Arabidopsis thaliana: one gene and its partners. The protein of the gene in region 3 interacts with the protein of the main gene of each other region in a pairwise test. Each region holds a gene or a part of one and is shown on either strand. Other genes may lie near its edges. The genes, in order: AT3G62400, AT5G27370, HOS3-1 and AT1G68380.

Region 1 (5,420 bases), on a different chromosome or scaffold from region 3:
TGGTGAGAAGAAGTCAAAAAGTCAACGAGAAATGGGGTCGTTGCAAATGCAAACAAGTCCTGAATCCGATAATGATCCGAGGTACGCCACGGTGACGGATGAGAGGAAGAGGAAGAGAATGATCTCTAACAGAGAATCTGCTCGGAGGTCAAGGATGAGGAAACAGAAGCAACTTGGTGATTTGATCAACGAAGTCACTCTTCTCAAGAATGATAACGCTAAAATCACTGAGCAGGTTGATGAAGCTTCAAAGAAATACATTGAAATGGAGTCTAAGAACAATGTCTTGAGGGCACAGGCTTCGGAGTTGACGGATAGGTTGAGATCATTGAACTCTGTGCTTGAGATGGTTGAAGAAATTAGTGGTCAGGCTTTGGATATTCCTGAGATTCCTGAATCTATGCAGAACCCTTGGCAGATGCCTTGTCCAATGCAACCAATCAGAGCTTCTGCTGATATGTTTGATTGCTGAAGATGGATGATTCATATCTGAAGGATCAAAAATGAAGCATTGAGTTCGAGTCTTTGGTCTGTTTTACTTACTGTCCTTGTTGTAACAATTAGTGTGTCATTGGTGAATTGAGTCTTGTGTTGTCAATGGACAACGCAATCTTTATGCAATTTCAATTTGTTCGTGTCTTTGTATGGTTTTGTAGCCTCAGTCCTCTAGTCTTGTGTCTCATGTAATTGGTGTCTAATGTGTTTCTTATTGAATTCAAGCTTTCTTATTATTCGCTGCGCATTACCTGTTATGAAATTTTGGCTTTTGTATTCGTTTATGGAACTACAAATTACAAATGTTTTTAGAGCTAATTCAGATTCAAAGACATGATTTATATAACCTGACATTACCAAATGGACCGGAACAAAGATTTGTCGTATACGTATGAATCCGGAACAGGATCTTGATCGCTTCAGTTGTCGTAAGTACGGCACTCGTTGGTCTCAGGATTGTCTTTGCAGTATTCCTCCAAAGGGTCCGAACCATCAGCCTTCTTCTTGTCTCTAGCATGGCTAGCTGCTGCGCTAAGTTCTTCAACCTCGTCCCACGCAGCTACACACTCTCCACTCACAGGATCGCCCGCACAAGTCTCCTGAGCTTCCTTAATGCTTTTCTCCACTACGTCCGATATCCCTCCTTCCGGTGCTGCTTTAATCGGCTGAAGTTTCATCATCCGGTTAGTTGTTCTTGACCCAAGATTCCACGAATTGTTCAAATGGACCGGACCGGCGAGACAAACTGGCCGATTCTCGCTGGTGACGAAGACACGCTGGGTTGCAATGTTAAGACCAGTAGCTATAGTTGCCATCTTTGGATGGAGAAGGTACACGGCAGCCTGTGAATATAGTTTTTGATAAAAGAAGATAGTTCAGATAATTGGGAGGGAACAAGATATATGAAGTGTGCGTGAATTTAATTCTGTGAACCCCATTTCTTATCCTCTATTAACCAACAATTAAGTTCCACGTATTTGATATCGTTTATGAAGCAGTACGATGTTGAAAATTTGCAGCCATCCAAGCCGTTTTCTAAGATACAAGTGCCTGTTGCGTATTTTATCCAAAAAAGATGAGAAAAAATAAGCTGGTAAGTATAATAAAATGATCACACACTGTTTAAGGAAAAGTCAAGACAGATGTCTCAAGTTTCAACCACTGTATCTCCGGAAAACAATGTGTTAACAAATATCCAATTTTGATGTCTGAGTGGTTGTTTATTTCTCAAGCAACCAACTTTCTTAGGTAACTTATCTGAGATCTCAAGAAACCATAAAAACAGAAAAATCGAGCCAACAACATTGAGAGTGAGAGAGAGGCATTCCCATTCACTCTTCAGAGGCGACAACACCGATCTCACCTCTCTCAAGCAAATCATAGAAAGTTCTAGTTTTCCTCTGCTCATTCCAATGGTGCATCTTCCAGAGACCACCAGCAGCTAAACCAAGCGTCAAACCAATAATCAATTCCTTGACAACACTCGGGCCTTTCAATGTGGCATGCGCAACCTTGTGTCCTGCCATTTCTTCTCAACCTAGCACACATTTTAATCATAGAGTCAATACTAACATAATTGATACTTTCACAATGCTCACGATTCCTAAAGCTGAAAACTTTATTGACAACCAATAAAACATCTATACACACACACACACTAATCTACCTGATCTCTTAATTTCTACTGGTTTGCACTTGGAGTCTATATATACACATAAACATGTACAATTTCGATCCATTTTCTGTCTAACCTCTTAACTACGTCTCTATTCAAAGGAAGATATCAAAGGCTTTGAATTTATTCCCAAAATGATACAAGAACCCTAATCCACAGGATCCAGATACTGAAAATAAAATTGGCATTTCTCCCGAAGAAAAGGATTAACGTTTCAAAGCATCACAACACTAAGAGCATCAAATCTAAATCAACGGAAGATTTAAACGAGAAATTCCGATCTTAAGCACACCGATCTACACGGGAAAAAAAACGAGAAATGGATTCGAATCTGATAAAAATTAATCGTAACTTCACAATCCGCCACCTATCTATAACGAAAATCACCACAAAATCATAAAGGAAACAACAATTATCATCAAGGGAAGAATATGGACTTTACCGAGTCAGATTGTGTAGATGAACGAGACAGAAGCTCACGACGAAAACGAAATGGTGGGTGATTGAAGAAGTTGCGTAAGCAGATAATCACTTCTCTACTCCATTTGTGTCTTATTGGGCCTTAAACATGGGCCTGATCTCTTATTTCTTCAATGGGCATTTTATGGAATTTGCTTTTTAAAAAAGTAAACCATTCGCTGCTCGTGTTCCCCGAGTGTGTCCCACCACGTTAATAATGCCAAATCCAATCTGTCAACACACTAAACTAATTTCCTAATCCTGAACTTTTTTAAATAATCATTATCTTTCCCTCTGTTCCGTTAATTATTGTAAAATTCATGAGCTCACGAGTTTGTAAGAACGTCATTATCATTTCTTCACCGAATCTCTCCTCTATACCCCACTAATTCAACCACCTTTGTCGACTCCAAAATTTCAATCCTTTTCTCAAACAGTTCCATTTTTCGATTTCAAATTTCTCTGATTACAGATAATTATGAAACTGTTTTTTCTTAACTAACTTATAACAGTTACAGAGAAAAAATAAATAAAGAGATAGAAGATGGAGAGACAAAGAAGTTTCTCTGTGAAGTCCACAAGAGTCTTAGCATTCATCATCACAATAATCTCTTCCGCCATTGTTTTCTTCACTTTCTTCTCCTCTTCCTTACTCAAATCTAACTCTTCTCTTTACCCAACACCAGAAGCTAACTTCCAGATCGATTTAAGCCCTATTGCCGCCATTTCCGATTCTTCAGTTTCTCCTCAAGCAAGTCCGATTCTGATCTCTACCCATTTCAATTCACCCGAAAACACTTCCGGGTCTTCAAAAATTTCTGTTTTTGAGCAGAAGATTAGCGGCGAGAGTTTGGTTAAGGAAGTTAGGGAAATTGCTAATTTAACTTCGATTAAAGTGATTGAACTTCCGAGCAACAATGGTGAAGATAAGAAGACAGAGAAGAGAATCGAAGAATGTGATGTTACGAAAGGGAAGTGGGTTTACGATAGTGATTATCCATTGTACACAAATGCGTCTTGTCCTTTTATCGATGAAGGATTTGGTTGTCAAAGCAATGGAAGATTGGATCTTAATTACATGAATTGGAGATGGGAGCCTCAGGATTGTCATGCTCCCAGGTTTAATTTCTTCTTTCTAATTTTGTTGTTTTCCTCGTAGGCCTTTAAGAAGATCTCTCTATTGAAGTAGTAGTGGTTGGTGATAGTGACTGATGATGATAAGTGGGATTCATAGTTCCACTGAGCACTTAATCTCTCTGAATAAGTAGGAATGCAATTCATGGTCCTGAATTGGAAATTGTGGTATGTGTGAGTTTAGGTTCAATGCTACAAAGATGCTGGAAATGATTAGAGGCAAGAGGCTAGTGTTCGTTGGAGATTCAATTAATAGGAACCAATGGGAATCTATGCTTTGTTTGTTGTTTCAAGCTGTTAAAGATCCCAAGAGAGTATACGAAACGCACAACCGAAGAATCACCAAAGAGAAAGGGAATTATAGCTTCCGTTTCGTGGTACAATATGACTTTAATCTTAATGGACCATTAAGTGTATTTCAGGCGTGTGGTTGTGTTAATGTCATGTTTGTGTACTTGACTAGGATTATAAATGCACTGTGGAATTCTATGTTACTCATTTCTTGGTTCGTGAGGGTAGAGCAAGAATAGGAAAGAAGCGAAGAGAAACACTTAGAATCGATGCTATGGATCGAACCTCTTCCAGATGGAAAGGTGCTAATATCTTAGTGTTCAATACAGCTCATTGGTGGTCTCATTACAAAACCAAATCAGGGTCAGTACTTTTTCACTTTAAAACTTCAGAAGAAGAATGGAACCAAGATATTGATTGATTAGTTTGGGTTTGCAGGGTCAACTACTACCAAGAAGGAGACCTGATTCATCCCAAACTCGATGTATCAACCGCTTTTAAGAAAGCTTTGCAGACTTGGTCATCATGGGTTGACAAAAATGTCGATCCGAAGAAAACTCGCGTTTTCTTTAGAAGCGCTGCACCTTCTCATTTCAGGTCATTGTCCTGTCTCTCGTGTGGTTTTATAGACCGATCATATGTCTCCATTATCATCTCTTTATTGCATCTTTGGACAGTGGAGGAGAATGGAACTCAGGAGGTCATTGCAGAGAAGCCAACATGCCGTTGAACCAAACCTTCAAACCAAGTTACTCGAGCAAAAAGTCCATTGTTGAGGACGTACTGAAGCAAATGAGAACACCGGTAACCCTCTTGAACGTTAGCGGTTTATCTCAGTACAGAATTGACGCCCATCCTTCTATTTACGGAACAAAACCCGAAAACCGGCGTTCAAGAGCTGTCCAAGATTGCAGCCATTGGTGTCTCCCTGGTGTTCCTGATACTTGGAACCACTTCCTTTACCTCCATTTGCTCCATAAACGATAAATACAGTTACAAACTAATCAAAGCTCCAGTTACGTGTTCAAAAGTTTGTTTAATGTAGGCATTGCTCGATCCGATTTAACCAACCAAACCAAAACCATTTTGGAAAACCCACTATGACAACTGAACTGAAAATACAAAACCAAATTTTCGTTTTCCTGTGACTCACGCTGGTCCCGTGAATGTCAATCTCTTGGTTCATTGTTTAGGAAAATAACTAAATAAAGTTACTTGGACCATCTCTTGGTTCATTGTCTACAATTGTGTATGTAAACAAATCTGATGGTCAAAAAAAGAATATACGACCATTTAGAATAATTAGTAAACAAATAGTCTTAAAGACCTCCTCAAGGAATGGAGTTGATATTCTTCATCTTATTCT
Region 2 (4,657 bases), on a different chromosome or scaffold from region 3:
CAATATCTTCTGTTCTCTAGTGTAAAATAAGTGCCATGTTTGTTTTAACGTTTTAAACATGTCTCTCTTTTTCCTTTTGTAAATTACCTTTTTGTTGATAAAATTAAAATAACATTTCAACAAAAATAAATAAAAAAAATCATTTCCAACCAAAAATAGACTTCACCATTTTATTTTAGACTGACTTCTTACCACTATCCCAACACTAAATGGATCAGATTCTGAATATTATAACTAAGTGAAATTACAATATTTTTTTACGAAAAGTATTATAAACATATTGTCCATAGTCTTTTTGTGTCCGAAACCATAATTAGTTGTTTGTTTGTTTTTCGGACGGAAAGAAAAATTAGTTTTTAGAGATATTGTTAGGATTCAAACCCATGACTTGGTCATCTTTAAACTTAAAAGATCTCAAACTTAATAGATATTTGGGGATTTGAACAAACAAAAAAAGAAGATATTTGGGGATGTATCCATATCATCACCAAAATAAAGGATTATTAAGAGGAAGTATACTCTTCGATAAACCTAATCTCAAATGAAACTGAACTGAACCTAACAAGAGATTACTAAATCGAAATCTAAGACTGAGTTTGATCATAGAAATGAGATATTTACTCTAAAGATGTTGAGTTTGGTATTATATCTCATAATCATTGGAATTGTTTCTTGGCTAATAGAGTTTGAGAAACAATTCCGATGATTAACAAATATGATGGCATAATTAAGTGTTACATATATCATATATGATATAGTGAGGCTTGTTAATTCTCGGTAATCATCAAGAAGGATTGTAGATAATAAATTATTATTATTAATGAAACGTTACTTTGCTCCCGTTTCTCAAAGAAAATGACCACTGTTCGCTGTTTCTTTTAATGTTTACGAGATCCTTACCCGCACATACGTGCGGAATTTCATATTTTTGGAATTTTATATTTTTAGTTCAATGTAGATTTTTTTGTTATTTTATGATATATATTATAGTATAATGTATTAGATATCAGAACTCGCATATACGTGCAAAATATGAAAAAAAGTAATAGATTTTTAAAATATATATAATATTTTGTTATAAGTAAACTTTGTAATAGTATAGATATTATAAAGGTAAGAATAACAACCAAAATTCAATTGTGTTCGTGTATAATTATATTTTAAAATCTGGACTCACACGGGGAAATAACCCAAACTAAAACCAAATTTATATCCTATTTTACACCAGTAATCAAACTGTTATAATGTTTTGATTAGTTTAGAAAATTAAAACGTATATTTGACGTATATTTCTTGGAACGGAAAACCCATAATGTGATGTATCTATCATAAATTCTTCGTTCCATAACCCGTCTGTATATGTGAAATAAAAATACTACCAACGCCCATCACAAATAGAATTTGTGTCACAAAATACGTACATGCAGGGTTAATTTATTTTATATAGTGCTCATAACCCAAACTCATACCAGTTGGATATTTAATTTGATGTCCAGTTTGGTTTCAAATTTCTTTATATAGTGCTTCCGTTTCTTTTCATGTCGTTTGTGTCTCATAATTCCTATTTTCATTTCATTCCATTGAAAATACGTTCCAAAATTCTTATTTGCTTACCTTTAAATATCATGTTATATATGACTGAGTTTTGCGGATTAACATATAGGATGTTAAAGTTTACAAATATATCATAAATTAAAACACAAAAATACTCTTTCTTGATTTTTTTTCAAATTCAAAAATATGAATAGCATTATAACAAATAATTTTGTAAAAATTTATATTTTAACAAATGTAATAATGTTTATTTCCTTACCTACATGTTTAATATTCTTCTTTCCCTTGTTTAATCATAATTAATTGGATTTTTGGAATATAATTAAAATTTTGAAATACCCCTACAAAAGCAATTTATTTTGCTGGATAATTTGTTCTGAATGAAAAATGTATAATTAGTTTATATTATTTCAAAAGTTTGTGCACTAATATATTATAGATTTATTTGAAAAAAGATCCGGTTGAAAAATAGAAAAAAGAAAATCCAAAATATTTCAAAATTAGTATGTAAAATTTATTGTTTAGATATTTCTAAATGTAAGGCATAATGATAATTATTTTAAATTAATTATTTTAGTTTAATTCATAGTAAATATTAATATTTGTAACATCTTATCTCGTTTTTAAAAATTTTAAAATAAATTTTCGTTTTATATTTCAAAATACTTAACCCAAAATTCTAAATTGAATTTATTTATCTATCACAAATTATGATTTTTTTATTCATGATATCAAGCAAGTCTTATGATTTTTTAAAATTTTAAAATAAAACTTAACTTCCAAAATGTTAGTTTAATAATATTGTATAATTTGATATCAAATCTAAGTTTTTCAATTTTTATTGGTTAACAAATTTTAAGAAATATATTTTATTTTTTCGTCTATAATTAATAGGAAAGAGAAAGTGAGTTTAATTTTGGGAAACTAATAATTACTTAAAAGAATATTACCAATTTTTATATTTAAATATATTAATTTTGTGATTACTATTGTATTCTTAATAAATTTATTTAAAAACACTAACAATCAATGGCATTCTATGTAATATTTTACCCTTCATAAGGTTGTTTATTTTCAATGATTTCCAATTAATAGTATAGATGCATCTCGCAACTGGATTTTTTTTTTTTTTTTTTTGTAAAGGATCTTCATGAAATTTCATCAGATGAAAATTTTACGGTTCGCTTAATGAGAAACGGTTCGATCTTTATGTGTGCAAGGTTAGTAACATCTTACATTTTCATACATATTTTCATTTCGTCATATTATTTATATAAAACAAGAATACAAGATATATATTTTAAATGAAAGACCATTAGACGTTACATGTATTTTGTGTTATAAAAATTGACGTATTTTTGTAAGACCGAGTCACCAAAATGAGTTAGGTACAACCGTGCAAGATATCGCTTAATGGACTCAATTTCATAGAACATGCACATCTCCAATTATTTACGTTTTAGCTCAAATATTATGTTTTTTTTTTCCTAAGATTTGTTTTTTCTTTCCCTGGCAGATTTGATTAATCAAATAATGCATGTGTGTGTGAACACGTAAAAAAATCGTGTCCCAACTTGTTTATGGCCATGCAAAAATAACGAATCGAATTTTGTAAAAAATAGCACTTTCATAAAAGTATTTTGACACTTTAAGATCTAAACACGAAATAAGAGCGTACCTCCACTTAATATCTTGATGCACCATAATTTCATTAACGACTAGCCAAAGTTATAAACCACAAACTAAGTTCCAATATATAAACTAACTTCTAACAAAAAAGGGTTATCCAAATGTGTATATCTATAGTTCTTTATTTTCTTTTGACAAAATGTGGAAATATATAGTAACAAAACTAAATATATATTACATATTCGGACACCAAATAAAACTCGACATCTTTAAGAAATGTATATAAAGACGCATCAAACATATCCTCACGCATGCATGCATTACGTATAGAAGAACATACAAAACACTCTTTCTCCACATAACATACAAACTTTCCTCACTTCCGATCAAATTACGAAATGGAGGCGTCGTTCATTAGATCGCTACCGTCTGCCGGAAACTTCGCCAACCTATTGCCGACCGGGACCGCCCTCATATTCGAAACCCTACTACCGTCTTTCTCCAATGGCGGCGAGTGCAACAACAAACCCGTCAATAAACTCCTCACCATTACTCTCATCTCCTTTTGCGCCGCGGCTTGCTTCTTCTCCTCCTTCACCGACTCATATGTAGGCCAAGATGGCCGCATTTACTACGGAATTGCCACCTCTAACGGTCTCCACATCCTCAACGACTATCCAGACGAAGGTTATGATCCAGAGTCCGGCTTAACGGCTGATAAGAGAGAGAGATATAAGCTCAGTTTTGTAGATTTCGTGCATGCTTTCGTGTCGGTTATCGTGTTCTTAGCGTTAGCCGTAGAGAGCTCGGATTTTCGGAGGTGTTTGCTCCCGGAGGACGATGAAAACAGTTGGGGTGGTCATTTTGTACTTATGATCAAGTACTTTGCTGTTATGGTGTTGACAATGGCAAGCTTCTTCTTTGCTATCTTTCCCTCAAAACGGAGAGGCATCGGAATTTCAGACATTCGTTGATTCATAACATTTATTTGTGTATGTACATATATGTGCCTATGGTCTAAATATGTTGCTATGGTAATAATCTTTATACCCCAAATTCCATGATTGATCTTATCTTATTCAATTCATGATCTTTATAAACGAGTAATCATCTCACACGGTCTAAAAATAACAATAAGCAATGTAGGCTTTGCGGTCCTGTGGAAAGAATTGTAAAGAGCTTTGCCTAGTCTTATTGATCTTCATGATTAATACACAAATCTTTAACAAGCAAGAAGAGAAGAAGAAGGAATAAACCAGAAGAAAAACTGATCAAGATGGTTGTGAATGTTATCCATCTCAAATCAGATATATGCTGTCCAAGACTCCAAAACCAGCTGCAACGCCGCCTTCATCTGATGATGCGATCTTCGTGCGCATTAGATAACCACTCTGCTCGTTTACTATAACTTCGTCTTTGCTCCTACATATTTCATTTAATCAAAGATTATGGCACAAAATTAAGTTGAGAATTA
Region 3 (6,382 bases):
ATCACCACACTTTGGTTGATACTATGGGCCATCTTCGGCGTATTAAATATACCCCAAGTTTGGTAAACTGGATCGAATACCTCCGCCCAGTTTGAGGAATCAGCGTCCTCTGGGCACCCTCCAAAAACGTAGATCTTCCCGTCTATGAGGCTTGCCGATGCGGAAGCACGAGCCATCTTCATAGACGGGACGCGGTGCCATGTCTGAGAAAAACAGTTGAGGAACAAGACATCGGAAGTGGGATTGCCGTTTATGATTCCACCGATTACATAACATAGATCCCCCAATTCACTACCACAAAAGAAGATGATTCCGGAGCCTGATAGGGGTGCGATGGGACCGGCCTCAGTCGACGACTACCCGTAAGGACGAACCAGCGAGGGGTTGGATCAGGTAAGATGCGCAAGCAGACGAAGAAAGATGGCTCAGTGCAACCAATCAGCGATCGCGTGCTGCAGAGCTCAGGGGATGTTACGAGAGAGCGGTATTTCTTGGAGCGAGAGATAAGGCTGTTTGGTCCAATCTCGAGACGCGAGCCATGCAACTCACAGCCACAGAATCCGGTAATCCAGACCACGACGGAGACGCCTCATTCATCGTCTTCTTCCTTTTACTTTGCGGTGGCACTTCGGGGGCGTAATTGTACATCGTCGAATGCTCTCGCATTCTCAATTCACAACAACACAAATTTAGAGATCTCTAGATCCATAATCATCTGATTGATTGATCGACCTTTCTTGCCATAAATTCTTGATTGGAATCGAGATTTTGTGAAGATAGGCCGATTCGGACAGAAACTATATATATTTTATGGTTTTTACTTTTCTCAAATTAACAAATATTAAAGGAAAAGGAAAGAAACAAGTACTTGCGCTTCACTTTGTCGGTTACTTGTTGTACTTGTGTTTCACTTTGATCTGGAGAGATTTGAAATTCTCTCTCCTCGTCGCCTTTCAACAAGTTCCGCGGTTGGTTGCAAGAGCCTGGACTCTTTGTTTCTGGTTTGTGAGATTGCAGAACCATCGATCGAGAGCTTAAGAGGATTTTATTTTTACAGTGGAGAATCAGATTTCAGATGTGGGCCTTATTATGTAAGCTTTTTTACTATGGGATATGTCATATGTGTGCCTAGTTAAGTAGAAAACCGTGGCCTTAGGCCCATCTTGTTCTACAGTTATAAATGCCTTAACTTTGATTAAGTGTAGTAATATTATACTAGGCCCAAATATTAAATATAGTCGACATAGTTCATTTCCTTATACAATGGTCTAAGGCGAACACTCGACCATATTCGTTTGACCTGTACATTTCCTTATACGGCATTCAAACGGTAAATAGAAAATCAAAAGTGTGTCCCCAAGTAGAGAGATACAATTGCAGCTCTTACAATCTAACACATCAGTCTCAAACCATATTATGTTTTCTCGCTTTTAATAATTTTTCCTCTTATCCAAAATGCATTTTCACTTGGTAAAGAGTATAAGCTTTTGATCATCCTCGTCCATGATCCACCATGTAAACCTTTGTTTCCTCTATCACCACATTTTGGTGGGTATTGTGGTATATCTACGTCATAAAGTTACCCCAAGTTTGAGTCTTTGGATCAAAAACCTCTTATGAAATAAATAAATATTTTTAAAGATATATTTATAAATAATCGACATAATTTCTTTCCACTTAAAAAACACAAAACTAGATTTAAAAGAATGAAAAACAAGAACTAGATTGCGTTAACTAAGAGCCAATAGTTCAAATGTAAAATATCTCATGCAAAGTCAGAGATCGATGGTTTATAAAAAAAAAATTGTCCCGGTTTGAGAAGATGTACAGACCTAGACGCAGAACATTTTAGTTATTAGAAAACAAATTAGATTATACTTCAGTTTTAAAAGTGAAAGACAAAAAAGAAGATTAGATTTGTTTTATTGAGTAAAAAGTAAAAACTAGTAAAAAGGATCAATTAATTCTTAAGCGTTACGTTGGCTATTCATTTTATTAATATGGCGTCGCATTGGCGAATGCATTCTCACATAAAAGTTAAGAAAAAGCAACAAAATCGCACCGTTGAGAACCGAGTTTAAACCCCACGCGCCAATCCCATTGCATCCACCTTTAAAGAGGTGCATCGTAAGAACCCCAGCGTGAGACACGAGATTACAGCCCACGAGAACCAACTGACAATTCACCACAAACGAAGGGAAAGCCGAACCGGGTAAACCAAACCCGGTCCAGAATCTATAACCGTAAACCACCGAGTAAACCAGAGTCGTCGATAGAATCGCTAGAATCTGGTACGACTGCGAGAATTCTAGCCAGAGGAAAGACGTGAAGGCCATGACGGAGTTACAAAAGAGCTGAGACACGGCGAGCCTCCGGCTACGTAAAACGGCGAAAATCGTACGGAACATGTGGAGAAAGCGCGTGAGGTAAAACACGTATGACCAAAAGAAGACACGACCAGAGGGACGAGTCCCGAGAGGGAAACAGAGAAGCCATTGGAGAGGAGTGGCGGTTTTGCTCCGCCGCCATAACCACCGTGTGTCACGGATCTCTGCGGCAGCGGAGAGGAGGATTCCGGCGAAAATGGTGGCGGAGAGGATCGACATGAGAAGGCTGTGGATTTCGGGGATGTGACCTAAAGGAACGGAACGGTTACTTCGGCGTACGGCGGAGAGGAGGATGTGGAGGGAGGATGAGACGGCGATATAGAGGGAGATTGATGTGAAGAGGAAAGACCACGTGGAGCCCCATGATTGGCTGTTACTCCAACGGAATCCGACGATGTATGGATGTTCGGAGAGGAAGTAGGTAATAGAGTTAATCAGAGCCGTTGACATAGTTTGAATTTGATCGTACGGTGGTGGTGATCACAGTGACTCTTCTTCTTCCTCTGTTCCTCTAGTCCTGTCTTTTATATGTGTGCGTGCGACTTTTTCGCAAAGTGAATCTCTGTTTCTGCTCTTATTTTTTTTGTTGGGATATTTAATTTCCATTTTCCAATAATTGTTGTAGAACATACAGTAGGTCACTAAATGGCCGGTCTTGTCATGAAAGCAAAATGATGTGGACCAATATTAATTGTCACATTTACGTGACAAATTTAATTTGGCTACATAAATGAATATTGTAAAACGGTTATGAAAATTTTTAAGATTTATGGTCTTAATGGGGTTTTACTGTTATTGTCGAAAATCGAAATAGCAAACCATATTTGAAATATCTTCAAAAAGATCAGAAAACTTGGTACGCGTCAAGTTGACCATTACCATAATCGAAAAGCAGGTGGGAAAACCAAAGAACCTCTAGACACGAAAGAGAGTTTGGTGTTGAGAAATTCAGACAAGCGTCAATTTACAGATGCCTTCATGGTTAAGTTTTAAGTTTTACTCAAGGAGCTACAGATGAGAAAGAGTGCATTACGTAAAACAAAATGCAAATATTGGAATATGGATCGGGCGATCGTTACGAAGATGAATCTACATCAGTAATCAGTAACGAGTTAGTATTAAATTACTATTTCACACAATTTGATGACCAGCTAAGACAGAAGATATTTGATACGTATCAAATAAAATTAGTAGAAATCAAATTGTCCTAATCGTTATATTGGCAATAAGCGTTATAGTACCACGTGAGTAAACAAAAATATTAGATACGTACCAAACAAATGCGGCAGGAACAGTGTAATATATCTCTTTTTCACTATGAGGAATTTGGTTTTGTCCACTTGATAGTATTTTCCACAAGTGACTCTTTTCTTTAGTCTCATTTTCCAGAAGTGATTCTTGACCTACCAAACTAAGTATTTTATTTACACGGTCGTAGTTGATTTCTCGTGAATTAATTAAAAGGAGACTTGGACGGTGAACTTACAACGACTACTCCCACGCATAACATGTTCTATCAATCATTTATGTAAGCCCGCCGAAACAATCATTAAGCATATGTTATACTTGTTTAATTTATAAACTAAAAATCATTTAAGTTAAAACTAAAACTAATTTCGGAATTGGCTTCAACTAAGATTTAGGCCTCAAATGACAAGGTTTTGTTGAGTTTTTGGTATAGATAACATGTTTAAAGTAATGATATCTCATATGCATATGCATGGAAGTATTGTAACATTTAACATTCAGAAAGTCAGACTTGAAATTTATAAATCTACATCACAATCGATTCTTTTATCTACTCTTCCAAATTACATAAGCCGCACTAATAGAACTTTTTTTTTTTTTTTTTGTCTTTTTCCTATTTTCCTAGAAAGATTATGAAATATTCAAAAATTATAGTTTGACACAATTTTGGGGGTCAATATATCTTTCTCAGGTTAGTAGGACAACGAGACACCAATGATCAATTCTGTAGAGATCCAAGAATCTTGGGAACAGCACCTGAAGGCTTGGGATTAAACAGCTTTTTCAGCTCATCATACCTCCCAACATCAAAATCCTCAGATTGCATCAGTTTCCTTTGTTTAGCCTCAAACCTGCTTTGGTAAAAACCTTGAAAGGAAGGCTCTCTCGATGTCTTGAGGAAAAATGTGTAACCCGCCATGAAATATACCGATGAGACATAGAAACAGATCGGTTCCATAACATCCCATGTCAGGTCCCAAAACGTTAGCCTCATAAACCCTGCGGTTTGGATGATCAAGTAACCCAAACCAGCCCAAAGCTCTCTTCTCACCAAAGAATGTGCTTTTTGGTCAATGACCGTCTTTATAGCTTCAAGCTCATTTAGCTCCTTTCTTCTTGGGTCATTCGGGTTATGGATTTGTGATAAAGGAAGAAGCCCCTCTATGGATTTGGTTAACTGATCAACACACAAGACCTTATCAGAGAATTGCATAGACAAAAAAGAATTCAAATGGTAAAAAAAAGCAAAGAGGAGGAAGAAGTTACCTGATGAGGTCTTAAACAAACAGAGTTTCCCATAACGATAACGTTTCCTGAATCATCAAGCATCTTAGCGATCAAAGCTCCTTGAGAAGGATCCAAAGAAGAATCACTACAAACACCTAAGAAATCTGAGTAACGAATCCAGATTTTTCCTGTCTCCATCAGCTTCGTTTTAATAACTTCGATCTCTGCTGCTCTTAGCAACTTCTTCACGTCTTGCACAGTAAGCCCTAACGTCTCCTCCTTCGGATGAGAAAGTCCGTCTAATCGAATCCGATCCTTGTTCATATCCATTTCTTTAAGCTTCTCCATCAGACTCTCCCCAATAGACATCTTCGAAGTCGTATCAATCCCATTCATGGAGAATTTATTCAAAAACCTCTGAGAAATCGTCAAATCTCCAGGCTCTGGATCAATCGTGGCTTCTCCTATATCTTTAGGAACCCTAGTTCGCATGGCTAACGAAGAAGAAGACGAAGTACGACAGTTCATGAGACTTTGCGACGCCGTTTTTGACATATTGAACAAACGGTTCGACAAAAGCTTCTTCATCATCACCATGACGAACAGAACAAAAAAAAAATACGAAAAATCGAAATCCCAGAAAGGAAGAGAAGAAAATGAATTCGATTTCAGTTACTACTTGAAAAAATGAAACAGCAAGAGCGAGCTTTATATAGGTAACCAAAGTTCTCTGTTACAGTTTTAATTTTACGTTTAACATAAATCTTGTGGGGCCTTATACACGTCAGCAGATATATCACGAGAAATTCAATAAACGCTGCCTTTTCGTGAATATTGATAGGTGACTACCGTCCACGTGGATAGATTTATGTTGGTGATAGCTTTCGATGCCTCAATAACCGTCCGATTAAATTTTAAAAAGATATAATATCTTGATAACTTATTTGACTATGAGTAAATTACACAACAGAATTAAAAAGAAAGGCAAAAACGTGTCGCCACATTTTCTGTTTTATCTTGTTATTATCTCTTGCATCTAGTAGTAAATGGTAATGTTGAAGAGATGATTTTTTGAGATGTAATAATGTCTATATAAGGAAAACTTAGTAAATATTTGAAACAATGACGTGTTGCCACATTTTTCGTTTTTATCCTTTGCACACCTAATAAAGAGATAACAAATGTGATGTAATGTGGATGTAACTACTGTGTCTGGTTAGGTAATTCAGTAAATTTAAACACACGGACGTGTCGCCACATTTTCTGTTTTATCTACAAATTTGTTTTTCAAAATAGCATCACCGGATAAACATGTTGAAAAAATAAATAATAAAATTAATGATAAACACGTAGAATTAAAATATAATTTTCTCTATAATTTATAAACACGTAGAATTAAAATGATAAACCTGATATTTACGTTTAAATCCAAATACATGTTATCTTGGTTGTACTGCTGATTCAAATTTGATGGTGATGGAGATAATAAAAATTTAGTGTGTGTTTAAATCAAGATCATG
Region 4 (5,950 bases), on a different chromosome or scaffold from region 3:
CAAAGAGCAAGTAATGAGATTAATTTTGCAACAAACAGCAAAAACATAAAACGAAAACCAAACTGTAAATCCAATTCAAGCATTCAACGAGTCATGTAACTAAATCAGCCAGATAGGACAGATTCTCAAATTGATGGTCTGAAATTTTTTTCCTTCAAGTCAGATCAAAGCACACGCGAAAAATTAAAGAAGGTGAATCTCAATCTCTCTTTCTCATAAAAGCTGATGATTTGTTGAAAAGGAAAGAAAGAAAAAGGTATAAATATATTTTTTTGGCTTGAGTTTTGTTTATTTTTTGAAAGAATAGGTGGATGAGAGAGATAAAGCGATATATGGTTAGAGGGTAAATTGGTCAAATTATACATTCAAAGTGCCTTCTTTTTAGAAAGTGTCTAACCACGGAAATGTTTTTTAAAAAGTGTTTTACAGTGTAATATTCTCAAAAAAAAAATAAGAGCCCTTTAATATAGATATAATTATTTAAATTTAATTTATATCTGTTTTAAGAAAATAATAACTATACATATATATATATATATATATTATAAAATCGACATTAAAAACGTAGTTGTTACTTTTCTTCTAACCATATTTGTTTAAATATACCATAGCTATTTATATATTTACAAAAAAAAAAAAATCATAAAATGGGTTCCAAACCATTACTTCATTTGGCCAGCCATGGGCTCATACGTTATGTTGTGAAGTTCTCGGAATAACAATAAAATTTCAAATTTTAGAAAATACCACTGTTACTAGCCTACTTTCACCTTGTGGATCATTTTGTTAGCTATACATGATACTATTGTTTGTTTATTTTTTACACTCTAGAATTTGTATCATAGCTAGCAAAATGATCACATATATGTTGTTGTAAAGTTCTCGGAAGCAGCCGTGATGGAAAACGCATATTCTCGTATCACTAGTGAACCCAAATGATCACATATTTGTTGTTGTTTTTAACTCAGCCATCATTACCATGCATGAGTCTCGTCTAACATGACGGTTCTGTAACCCAAATGGAATGGAATGCATTTTTCCTACACTACGTCATGACATTCCCAGGGTTGATGCCACTTGTTTGCACAATTATTGTCTCTTCACCCTACAGCTTTCAACAATGTGCAACTACACGTAAATTTGACCAATCAATTTATTTATCAATATTTATATAGTGCAACAAGTAATTTTCTTTTATTTGAACCAAACAAAAAAGTAATATTCTTTCAGTTTAGAATTCGCAAGGTTGACTTCAACTTAGTTTCATATCAACTATAATTATATTCTGTGTATATAGTTAATGTTTGAATACTCTAATGGCTTTGTATGAATGGCCTGATATAACTGTCCCTCGAAAATCTATTACTTAAGTAGAAAATACATAATATATAAAATCTTCAATTTAATTACATAGGTTAAATCCTTTTCACTCACATAGTCTCATGGATCATTTTTTTTTTTTTGCATCCATGGATCTACAGTTTTGTAAGAAGTAAAAGATAAACCATGAAAAAATCCTATATCTGAGTTACATGAGATTAATTTTCTAACAAAAGCTTTAAGCAAATAATGTTTGTCACTTTCATTTGATAAATAAATAAAAAAATACAAAAAGAGATATTTCGTCTAAGAGAAAACATACGAAACCAATTTCAATAGCTCAACTGGTAAAGACTATTAGACAAAGCATGTAGGTCGCCGTTCGATAAAAAAAATTATTTCCCACGTATGTAATTGTTTCTCCAGTTTACCTCTTGATTTAATGTCTACGCGGTTGAATATATTATCTGTAAGAGTTGGTACCATGTCTATTGCATACTATAAACATCGAGTAAATGAAATTCACATCTTTGTTCACTTAGGTTTTTAATAGCAATCTACACGATCCTGCTTTTATGGCTGCGTCATTTTCATTCTTGTAGATAAAGTCACTCCGGTAGTTATAAAAAAAAACAAATTAGGTTTAACTTGTAGTGCTATATATATATATATATATAAGCTTCATATTGTTTTCATTACGATCTTTTTTTTTATATATACAATGAAATTGTTGCAAGCGTTAAGCAATGTAAACGTGGAGGTTTCAAGGATGTCTTGTGAACGATTACCAGAAAATAATGTATATTATTGACAAGGTATGCAATAAACTTATGAGCAAAAACGAAAGAATGATAAATCATATAGGTATAAGGTATATTAATAAGTAAAAGCAATAAACTTAAACATGCGACCAAGAGATAAAAAAAAGTATATAGCGAAACTACAAGTAAAACATTTAAACCACCATCAATATTATATCCACTTATAACAAAGAAATATGATTTTGGGAAAACGAACTTAAAAAAATATATATTGCATGGACATATAGCGAAATAGTTCATTCAAAGACAAAGATTGGTTAGTCTACTCCTATCAATCTTTTTAAAAAAGTAAATTAATATTGATGTAAGGAAATTTGTAATTTTAGTTTAAAGAATTAATGCTAGTGAAAGAGTAGTAATAAGATGCTACGTATATAACCCAATTGACTTTGCTTGGATCATCAAAAAACTGCCTCAAAATGTTATATTCCATTGCGTGTGTATTTTTGTTTTTACGAGTTAATCACTCACGCCACAAGATCTCCACTTTTACTTGCTCTTCTCCACTTTTTAACCTCATTCCAACTAGGAAGTAAGATCCATGTATCTCTTTTTAACCCTTAAAACATTGGAAACAAGAATTCTCTTACACATGTATCGGTAGTTGGAAATGCCGACCCAAAAGGACCAAAACTCACCATTATCTCAAGTGATAGAGCTTCTCAAGAAACTACTCCACCATTTCCACAATCTCCTTTTGTATTTCTTCATCCTCTGGATCGGCGTGATAGTTGGAATCATTGTTTATCCCTCTCTACAAGGATTATCTTCGCCTTCTTCGTTAACCATCCAAAGTGTCTCCCAACTCTTCTTTGTAACCCCTCCTCCTCCTATTCTTTCTCCTTCATTTCAGGACAATGGGCTTGACATGTTTCTGATACCACTGAAGAACATCATGCACGATATGGAAGATAATGAACTTCTGTGGAGAGCTTCAATGGATCCTAAGATCAGGGATTACCCTTATCCTAGAATCCCGAAGGTTGCTTTCATGTTCTTGACTTGGGGACCTTTACCTTTGGCTCCTCTATGGGAAAGGTTCTTTCGAGGTCATGAAGGTCTTTTCACTATCTACGTTCACACCAATTCGTCTTACGACGAGTTCATGCCGCAAGACTCTGTGTTTTATGGCCGCCGTATTCCAAGCAAGGTCAGCTTCCCAAATTATTAAGAAATTTATTTCGATACATTAATAGGTTTGGAATTAACGTGATAAATAAAATTTATAAATATATTATAAATAATATATATATATATATATATATATATATAACGGATCGAAGTACATGAATACGATATTTTTCCTATCTTTTTTAGTAAATTACATAAAAATATAAGAATATTTGGTATCTTAAAAGAAAACATATTAATTATTACACTATAATACATAAAATAAAATCAATCCAATGTCATTAACTATAAACGTATGCAGAGAGTGGATTGGGGAAACGCAAACATGGTAGAAGCAGAACGAAGGTTATTAGCAAACGCTTTATTAGACATCAACAACGAACGTTTCATTCTTCTCTCCGAATCATGCATCCCTCTCTTCAACTTCTCCACAGTTTACTCTTTCCTCATCGACTCCACTCTAACCCACGTCGACTCCTACGACCTCACAATCGGTCGCGTCCGCTATGACCGCCGCATGTATCCTCACATCCGCATGCACCAATGGCGAAAAGGCTCTCAGTGGTTCGAGCTAGACCGAGCCATGGCCCTCGAGGTAGTCTCTGATACGTTCTACTGGCCAATCTTTAAAGCTTACTCTCGCTGCCCCGACGAGCACTATATCCCGACGCTACTCAACATGAGGCCGAGCCTTGGGTTGCGTAACGCGAATAGGACGCTTACTTGGACTGACTGGAGCAAGCGTAGGGCTCACCCGAGATTGTTTGGTGAGTGGGAGGTTAATGTGGAGTTCTTGGAGTGGCTAAGGATGAAGAGTGTTGGTGATTGTAAGAAAAATGGAGAAAATAAGATGAGACTTTGCTTTCTCTTTGCTCGCAAGTTTTCGTCGACTGCTTTGGATGAGTTACTCCGGTTAGCATCTATCGTCATGTATTTCTGATCACTCTCTTCCCCCTTCGTCCAAAAACAAAGATGCAATCGGTTTAACTACCAAATCTTCTTTAAGTAAGTGAAATATACAGTGTGTGCTTAACAAGTTACTTTCAGTACTAGGGATGTGAGATTAATCAAAGTCCTTGATAAAGTTAGGAACTAGCCTGTCATCAAGTTATAAACAGAAGATAACTTGAGAAACATTGAGAAAACACAAAAGCCTGACCCCCCAATCTCATTTGGTTTAGTCCTCCATTAGCATTTATGAGAAGGTATCCATTCATATTAGCACCTAACTCTGCAGACAATGTATACTCATATGGTAAGAACTTATAGAAGAGAAAAATAGGAAAAGAAAAAAAAGAACAAATTGCTACTAATAGGACTAAAAGTTTTGCCTAGACACCTGAATACTCAAAGAAGAATAAAGTCATGTCAGATATTTAATCTCCTTCTCCCATCTTCTTAAGCGAGATAGAAACTAAGCCACAAATGTTTAACCAAAGAAACACTTGAAAACACTACTACCACCAAGAAATGTGAAGAAGATCTTAATTAAGCAGCTCAATACACATCCATTTTTGGGCAACACTCAAAACGCAATTTATCAAGTTGTAGAAACAGAAACAAAGGCTAAACCACATATAAACAAGACCTTCTCAAGCCAAAAGTCGTAAATGTTCGACAAGAGAAACACTATTAGTAACAGAAATGTGAAGATTTTATCTTAATCAAGCATGTTCTAGTATGAGAAACACCTAAAAAGATAGCACAAAAAGCAAGAACCTAATGAGAAGCACCACCACCAATGGCAAAATTTTCTATACAATTGTTGATTTTTTCCCCATTTACATATTGATTATTCCATTTTGCTATATTTAGTTTTTTTTTTTTTTTTTTTTTATTCATTCAAATTCAATTTTACATATATTTATGTGACCCAAAACATAATTCCAATTCATTTTCTACAAAAATTCAATTTTTGACTTACCATATCACAAATGATATTATTAAAATAATATCAATAATAATATAATCACTCTTATAATAAAACTTCGTAATGGCCACAAAAAAATCAGTAATTTTCGATTTCCTTAAAAAGTCATCGAATTAAATATGAAAAATCAACGAGTTAGTTTGTCCAAAACGAATAAAATAAATTTAATAGTACCTTTTATTTTTTCGGAAACCCTTGTTTCGTTTTTTTTCCTCGATCTTCTTCTTCCCCAATCTCTCTTATTTTGTGAGCTTTTTAGATCCTCCTTTCTTCATCGTTTCTTTTCCGAGGTTTCAAATTCGTTCAATTTCTCGATTGAAGATACCTGAAATCGCGTTATTCTAGGTCCGCCGCTGTTGGATCTGCAAATTCCCCTTCGAATTTGAACATTTGTGATTTCAAATTCTTCGAGAAGATGAGCGCGAAAAAGCTTGAAGGTTCGTCGGCTCCGGCGAATCGACGGGATCCGTACGAGGTCCTTTGTGTATCAAAGGACGCTAATGATCAAGAAATCAAATCCGCTTACAGAAAATTAGCTCTCAAGTAAGCCAAAATTTTCCGATTATAACGATATCAAAACTGATTTTGCTTCAATTTCATCGTCTTCAATCCAATTTCTTAGGGTTTCTGGTTTGTTATATTGAAAAATCTGGAATTGTTCCTATTTGAACTCGTTAGCCATGTCAATTTTTGTTTCCAGTGAGATTGATATGTGAAGAATCTATTGTATACTAATGCCTATACATTA

The links.
Region 1: the proteins of HOS3-1 (region 3) and AT3G62400 interact in a protein complementation assay, tested with the Arabidopsis thaliana proteins (one large-scale study listed by BioGRID).
Region 2: the proteins of HOS3-1 (region 3) and AT5G27370 interact in a protein complementation assay, tested with the Arabidopsis thaliana proteins (one large-scale study listed by BioGRID).
Region 4: the proteins of HOS3-1 (region 3) and AT1G68380 interact in a protein complementation assay, tested with the Arabidopsis thaliana proteins (one large-scale study listed by BioGRID).

Annotation. Positions count from the first base shown.
Region 1 is NC_003074.8:23,086,896-23,092,315, reverse strand, and holds AT3G62400 (cytochrome C oxidase subunit), read right to left. Parts: upstream 2,721-5,420; 5' UTR 2,613-2,720; intron 2,033-2,612; 5' UTR 2,022-2,032; coding exon of another isoform or gene 1,904-2,021; coding exon 1,643-1,903; 3' UTR 1,495-1,642; downstream 1-1,494. Other genes in the region: BZIP53 (basic region/leucine zipper motif 53), read left to right, coding at 32-472; CP12-2 (CP12 domain-containing protein 2), read right to left, coding at 915-1,310; TBL6 (TRICHOME BIREFRINGENCE-LIKE 6), read left to right, coding at 3,174-3,748, 3,948-4,140, 4,227-4,417, 4,493-4,651, 4,732-5,041. UniProt on the Arabidopsis thaliana protein: This protein is one of the nuclear-coded polypeptide chains of cytochrome c oxidase, the terminal oxidase in mitochondrial electron transport.
Region 2 is NC_003076.8:9,663,730-9,668,386, forward strand, and holds AT5G27370 (inactive Serine/Threonine-kinase, putative (DUF679)), read left to right. Parts: upstream 1-3,581; coding exon 3,582-4,157; downstream 4,158-4,657. Other genes in the region: GSH2 (glutathione synthetase 2), read right to left, coding at 4,482-4,605. UniProt on the Arabidopsis thaliana protein: Involved in membrane remodeling.
Region 3 is NC_003075.7:17,345,966-17,352,347, reverse strand, and holds HOS3-1 (GNS1/SUR4 membrane protein family), read right to left. Parts: upstream 3,131-6,382; 5' UTR 2,838-3,130; coding exon 2,063-2,837; coding exon of another isoform or gene 1,968-2,062; exon of another isoform or gene 1,721-1,967; intron 1,567-1,720; coding exon 1,415-1,566; 3' UTR 1,185-1,414; downstream 1-1,184. Other genes in the region: AT4G36840 (Galactose oxidase/kelch repeat superfamily protein), read right to left, coding at 1-182; AT4G36820 (calcium uniporter (DUF607)), read right to left, coding at 4,354-4,812, 4,902-5,459. UniProt on the Arabidopsis thaliana protein: Probable very long-chain fatty acid (VLCFA) elongase that controls VLCFA composition and functions to inhibit abscisic acid (ABA)-mediated stress responses, including regulation of stomatal aperture, maintenance of primary root growth and inhibition of germination.
Region 4 is NC_003070.9:25,634,195-25,640,144, reverse strand, and holds AT1G68380 (Core-2/I-branching beta-1,6-N-acetylglucosaminyltransferase family protein), read left to right. Parts: upstream 1-2,682; 5' UTR 2,683-2,751; coding exon 2,752-3,291; intron 3,292-3,573; coding exon 3,574-4,212; 3' UTR 4,213-4,307; downstream 4,308-5,950. Other genes in the region: ARG1 (Chaperone DnaJ-domain superfamily protein), read left to right, coding at 5,618-5,745.